Cricetulus griseus: one gene and its partner. The protein of the gene in region 2 interacts with the protein of the main gene of each other region in a pairwise test. Links are inferred from orthologs where the notes say so. Each region holds a gene or a part of one and is shown on either strand. Other genes may lie near its edges.

Evidence for each region.
Region 1: the proteins of Tfcp2 (region 2) and Ca1 interact in binary tests that used the Homo sapiens proteins (3 or more experiments, as listed by UniProt). The two-hybrid records come from large-scale screens. The link is inferred for Cricetulus griseus from reciprocal best matches to the Homo sapiens genes TFCP2 and CA1.

Annotation. Positions count from the first base shown.
Region 1 is NC_048595.1:134,344,264-134,347,657, reverse strand, and holds the end of Ca1 (carbonic anhydrase 1), read right to left. Parts: intron 1,775-3,394; coding exon 1,619-1,774; intron 863-1,618; coding exon 746-862; downstream 1-745. UniProt on the Homo sapiens protein: Catalyzes the reversible hydration of carbon dioxide. Can hydrate cyanamide to urea.
Region 2 is NC_048595.1:396,972,595-396,976,424, forward strand, and holds part of Tfcp2 (alpha-globin transcription factor CP2), read right to left. Parts: intron 3,052-3,830; coding exon 2,924-3,051; intron 2,534-2,923; coding exon 2,391-2,533; intron 1-2,390.

The DNA of each region.
Region 1 (3,394 bases), about 260 Mb from region 2:
ACTCAGGTTTTTGTACTTGAGTGGCAAGAACTTTACTGGCTGACCAATCATCCCAGCCCCTTTCAGTTTTCAAACACAGAATATCCAGACAAACTGATCAGTTATAATGGCAGGAAAGCAATGGCCTTGGTAATGGAGAAAGAATGGGATGCCAGAATACATGGGATGGATACATTATTCACACAGATGAAGCCAGTGTTGGGCTAACATAAAAACCCTAAATCTGGAGGCCATCTTAAGTCAAATAGATGAGTCAGAGTTTCATGCCTGGCTGCTCTTAGCTTACATTTCAGGCCAAAAAAAAAAAAAAAAAAAAAAAAAAAAAAAAAAAAACTCAAGTAAGTCATTTAAGATTTATGACTGTGAATGGAGGAGAAACCTAATGGTTTTAATAAAATGCACAATAGACAAAAAGAAAGAGATAAAGTCATTTTATTGGTTCAATTAAAATGGAGAGAGGAGAAAGAGAACAAATCCCTTAATTATAATTATCTTATGAAACATTCCACAAAAGAAGATGATTTAAGCACAAGCACATGTTTAAAGATTATAATGGGCAAGTTTATAGATTCTTTGCAATAAGCATCAGGAATTAAAACTTTTTTTTTTTAGTTCTGCGGATTAAATTTGCAGGTTTGCTCTCTTACTAGCACTGAAATAATTTTGTTTCTAAAAAGTGATCACGATACTGGGTGATGTCTGCAGAGGGGCCGAGTACTGATCCAGGACTCCTCCTTGCTGGGCCTCAAAATGAGGCTGTCACTGTTCTGCCCTTCAGGGGCTGGGTTGGACGGTGGTTGGTCAGAATAGGAACAGCCGCCTCTCCCTCTGCATTTGATAGAACACTTCGGAGCTGTGCCAGCTGTGGGGAGAGACATTTAAAGGATGAAAAGCTGTTAAAGTCCCAGAAAGCACTTTGTTTCCAGAGAACTTAATGCTCTGTTGCTTAGAAAGCAGTTGAGGATAGTGGCGATTTTCTTAGTGGGCGGGAAGTGGTTGCACTCATTTTTCTGCCTCTGCAAAGGTATTTTGCCTAAATGAGGCATAGCTGGCTCTCTGTAAGAATACCAGCTTTCTCTTTGTTAGCTGGGGAGATTGTATAAGTGATATGTCATGCCAGCACCCCTTAATTTCATATAGCATCTCCTTTGGGTGGCTGTTGTTAAGATTAAATGCTTTAATCCATGCAAAGGGCCCATAGTTGGGTTGGGTGTACAAAACATCAATTAACATGGGGTACAATATTGTGAGAAACACAAGACATCTCAGGAAAGTAGCTGTTCCTTCAGCCATCAGCAACATCTTTAGAAACAATAAGCAAGAAGGTACTTTGTGACATATTTTAGGACTTTAGCTAGAAAATCCGAAACTATTTGACCAACTGTTCAGTAAGGCCCAGTGAGGGCACGATAGAAGTTCCAAGGAAAAGTTCACTGTTCCTGACATTGGAAGAAACCACCTAACAAGTGTTGGCTTTTCTTTATGAAGAACAGCAGAAATTTGGAACCTCATGCATTTATTTATGCACACAGTAGGAACAGTTATTGCATGGACTTTTGTTTTTTATTTTTGAAAACTTGGGATCCTTCACTAAAAGCAAATCCATTTCAGTTGGTACCTGTTCGGGGCTGACACTGATGCTCTCCTTGCAGATGAACCAGGTGACACTCTCATGAAGAGGAGGGTGAGTCAGAGAGCCAAAGTAAGTCCAGTAATCCAGGGATGAAGGAAGGAGACAGGATGGGTCAAAATTTGTGAATGGGGCTCGTTTCCCCTGGGAACAAAAGCAGTATATGTCATGCTATAAAATGCATCAATGTATTCCCCCTTATATATTACCTAGATATATTAGGTGCATTAAAAATTTCTACTATACTTGCTTTATGACAGGTATGTTTTTGAATATGAACAATAAAAAGGATGTAAACATACTATATGGAAGTTTTGGACATTAAATCTTCCTTTTATTTTGGTGGATAAGAAGAAAATCCTAAAAACTTTTCTGTAACTTGTATTTATCAAAAGAACTTAATATTCATTAGGAAACATTTAAATATCTTTGGATAATGCTCTACCCTGTGCTAGGGGCAACGGCATTCATGAGACCACAATTGCATTTACTCTTATTTATTCCCATGAATTTTTCAGATTTTATAAAGAAAATGAACAGATATTTGTATGGTAATTTTTTGTGCAACCAGTTTTAGCAGACTTTGTATCAATTTCATTTTTCAGTTGATTTTTTAAAGTTTTCCAGGTAAACACAGTTAACATATCATCAATACATGGTGATAATTTTGTTTTTGCTTTCCCAGTACTTAGCTTTTTATTTTGTTCTTTAATTGTGTAATGGTTAAAATTTTAATTACGATGTTAATTGTTCTTTTTCTTGATTACAGTAGAACAACTTCAGTTGGAGAAGCTGATGATGGGAATTTTCATATTTAATCCCATAATACAATGCTTCTACTCAAAGATGTTCTTACACTAAACCATCCACATCTAGAATGAACTCTACTTGTTCAAAAATATGACTTTATCAATATGCTATTGTAAGTGATTTGGTATAATTATTTTATATATTGATTTTCATAATTATTTTGTTTTTTTTGTTTTGTTCATGGCAAATCTGTTGAGCCATCTACCTCACTTGATTGTTTCTTAAAGGCTGAATAAATTTTCTTATAAATTAGACTGGGCATGGAATTCTGTTTAATAGATATATGTTCACTGTCTTTTCAAATTATTCTTAGAGTTTTGGTCTATTTGGTTTTTCTTTTGGTTCATTTTTATAATTTGTGTTTTCTTGAATGTCACTCATTTTATCTGACTTTTCAAATTTATTGATACACTGTTGTATTGATTCAAAAATTTTCTTCCTCATTTATACTATATTTTCTAAGCTTTGAATACAGTTTCTTACACTTACTAATGAATTAACGTATGCATTTCTCTGTAGGCATATGTGTGTGAATGCACTGTGGAGGTCACTGGACAACCTGCAGGAGGAAGTTCTTTCTTTCCATTAGGTCAGCTTCAGCGGTTCAAGCAATCACCTTTACCTGCTGAGCCATCTTGCTAGTCCCTCTAATAGTGTTTGGTATTTATGCCAGTTTTCCTTTACCAAAGCTGCCCAAATCATTCTTTTTTGCTGCTGTTTATTCAATAGAATAAAATTTTCATTAATTGATAAAATAGTGTTTTGTATTTATCTGTCATTTTACTATTTTCTGCTTTTATCCTCACTATTTCCTTCTAGTTTTATTTCTATATAATTTTGACACTCGGGTAGAGTTTAAAAATATTCCATCTCTCACTTTACAATATGCTTACTCAAAGTTCTTTTCTGAACTCAGCATAAAACAAACTTATTTTGAATAAAAACACAATAGGT
Region 2 (3,830 bases):
CTATGGGAGGGGCTAGAGAGTGATTAAGTGGTTACTGTTCTTCCAGAGAACTGAGGTTCAGCTCCTACCACTGTCAGGCAGCTCCCAGTCACCTGTAGCAGCAGCTCCAGAAGATCTGGCACCCTCTTCTGACCTCCATGTGCGCGCGCGCGTGCGCGCGCACAGACACACAGACACACAGACACACAGACACACAGACACACACACACACACACACACACACACACACACACACACACACACTTTAAAAAACAAGCAAACAAACAAACAAGTCTGTGGAAGCCAGGCTAGCACACACTTATATTTCCAGCACTTGGGTAGCAGAGGTAGGAGGATCAGAAGTTTAAGGTCATTTTTGGCTATATAGGGGGTTGACTACAAAGACCCTGTCTCAAAAATGTAAAGCCCATAAAGACAGGCAAAGGACAGGAGTGATAGCTAAGTAGTCAGTGGTAAAGTGCTTGCTGTGCACTGTGAGTGAGGACCTGAGTTCAGATTCCTAGCAGTCACATAAAAAGCTGAGTGCAGTGGCATGTGCCAGTAACCCAGCCTTGGCTCAATGGCCAGCGTTGTGGAACTGGTAAGCTTCAAATTCAATTTAGACCCTGTCTAAAACCTAAAAATTAAGGTGGAGAGTAGCTGAGGAAAACACCTAAATTCAAACTCTGGTCTCCACAAGCATATGCATGAAAGGGGACACACCTGCATGTGCGTGCGTGCGTGCGTGCGTGCGTGCGTGTGTGTGTGTGTGTGCTCGTGCCCGTGTATGTGTACACACTTTTTTAAATGCATACTTTTTAAAATGAATAATTGTATTACATAATTTGTAAAAAGTAAATTTATTTATTTTATGTGTATGAATGCTTTGCCTGCCATGTAATGTATGCATCATGTGCCTGCCTGGTGCCCATAGGTTTCAGAAAAGGGTGTCAGAATCCCTGGAATTGGAGTTACAGACAGTGTGAGCCACCATGTGGGTGCTGGGACTTGGGTCCTCTGAAAGAGCAGCCAGTGCTCTTAACTGCTAAGCCATCTCTCTGAAGCACTATTGTAATTTTGATTTCAGTTCCAGTGCTGGGAAAAAAACAAAGACTTGTATTTGGGTTAAAAAGAATGTACTATCAACCTCTCTCTTCCTCTCCCTCAGGTTGGCACTGAATTGGCCAGGGATGACACTGAACTCCTAACACTCCTGCCTCTACCTTCCAGATGTTGGAATGATAAGAAGCATCTTCTCTCCCAGACTAACCATGGGGGGGGGGGGCAGTACGTGAGCACACACATGTAGAAGCCAGTGGTTAACATCTGCTGTCTTCCTAAATTGCTTTTCATTTTTTTGAAACAGTTTCTCTCTGCCTCCTTAGTGCGGAATTACAGGCACACACTGCCATGCCTGGCTGTCTAACTGGGTGGTGGGGATCCTAGTTCAGGTCCTTACATCTGTGCAGCAAGCTCGTCACCAACTGAGCGTCTCCCTATCCACTACCTCATTTTAAAACGTTGTGTGTCTAGGAGTGACTGTTTTTACTCAATTGAGAAAACTTTTACAATTTTTGAAACTTTTAAAAATCGACCTAAAATATACAAAAGATACATTTAGTTTTGTGTGTATGTGTATCAGGTGTATGTGTGGTATATGTGGTGTATATGCACACATATATGAGTATACAATTACTCACAGAGGCCAAACTCAAATACCAGGTGTTCTCTTCACTGTCCACCTTGTTTTTATTTAAAGCAGGTATGTCACTGAACCTGGAGCTCATTCCCTGATCTAGCCCCATCAGCTGGGCTGGCAGAGTACAAGCTCCAGTGATCCTCCTGTGCTGAGGTTACAGGCACATGGGGGATCACACCCATCTTTAAAACAAAACAAAAAACCATGGTGCTGGGATCTGAACTTTGGTTCTCTTGATTGTGAAGAAAGCACTCATAACTGCTAAGCCACCTCTCCTTCAACCGTTTTTTTTTTTTTTTTTTTTTTTTTTTTTTTTTTTTTTTTTTTTTGCCTAGGCCAGGTGGGCCTTGAACTTACTACACAGCCAGAGGTGAATTCGAATTCATGATTTTCCTGCTTCCACTTCTCTTTGTGCTGGAGCTACAGCACTTTATACATAAGTTTTAAAAATCAGGAGGTAAGTAAACAGTAAGATCTAAGCCAGATGCAGTAGTTCATGCCAATAGTTCCAGATACCCAGGATGCTGAAGCAGGAGGGTCAAGTGAACCCACAAGTTCAGGGTCCCTCAGGCAAAAATAGCAAAATTTGCTAAAATTAAAAAGTTAAACCTCTTTGTAGGAAACAGAGTCCAACCTTGGCAGAGTACTCTTGGACCTGACATGTGCCCTAAACACCAGGGCACACGAAATACAACAGGACTGAGAAACTGACCTCATCACTGATGAGCACATGGATTCCTGTTGGCCCTTGCTTGTAAATCTGGCTGATCTGATGAGGAGAAATACTGAAAAGCTGGGCAATTTTTTCTGTTAATTCAACAGCAGTCAGTTCTTCTAGATAGATAGCATGGTACACTGCAAAAGAAGGTCCAGCAGTCATTCAGAGGCTGTCTGCATCTGCAGGTGATCAGCTCATGCTGTAGACTCACAATCACACAGCCTGGCTTCAGGGCCTGCTCAGATACAGTTTTTCAATGTGAACTGGGGAAAGCTACTCAACAAACCTAGTCCTTTCCCTGTTCTAAAGACTGGAGAGCAGACAATCTACAGCACTATTTAAAAATTCAAGTATATATAAAGTATTGGTAATAGCACATGGCATAAGTTAAGAGCTGAATAAATGTGAGCAATTGCCATTACTTGTAGAACTCAATGCTGAACTGGTCTGAACTCCCATCACACCCGCCCATGAGTCTTCTCTTCTCCTTTCTTCCTACCTGTCCTAGTCTGCCCAGAACAACCTACCGAAGAAAGTACCATTTGAATCTCCATCTTCCTGCTTCTGTTGTGGAGGCTGCTGCTGCTGCTGTTGCTGTTCCCTCAGCTGCACCGATTCCTGACAGACATAAATGGTTAGCCTTGGTCGCACCATCCTGTGTGGGAAGAAAAGGGATGGTCATTTTTACAATGTTTTCCCATGGTAAGCACATCCACAGGTAGTGTTTGTCCCTCCATCGCTGGAGAGAGCAGAGATGAAATCTATTAATGTTACTTGTTTCCTATCTCTCAGTGGTGGGCTTTGTTGTTTAAGCTGATTGGCTCCAACAGGAGGCACCATTTAAGCTTCTAAACTCTGCTTTCCCTGAAAAGTTATATGTGGGGCCAGGACTAGGGCTCAGTAGTAGACTGTTAGCCTGGTATGCTTAAATCCCCAGGTTCCATTCTCAGCACTGAAAAGGGAAGGGTTAGAAGAGGAGAAGTAGGGAGAGAGGGGCAGAGAACACTAATGCTAGCTTAGAACTGGTAAGTCAGGGTCCTCATTCTCCCAAGATCTCTTCACTAAACCCTGAATTTGACTGTTGGTCCTTTACATGACCATGGAGCAACTGTAGTCAATGGAGTTTGTGAGATTTGGAGTTATGGTTAGAAACGTTCAAAATGTAAGAGGTACTGCTTAATATAAGGGTCAGGTTCTAGATATGCTGTTTACTTAAAAATACTAATAGGTAGTGAGCAAGATGTCTCAGCTAACAAAGCTCCTGCCACTTGAGTTTAATCCCTGAGAACCACATGACGGGAGGAAATGACTCTTGCACATTGTCCTCTGATCTTCATATGACCCCAGACACCCCCTCCCCTGCCACATACACAAAAAGGAAGGAAGGGAGGGAGGGAGGGAGGGAGGGAGGGAAGGAGGGGAAGAAGGAAGGAA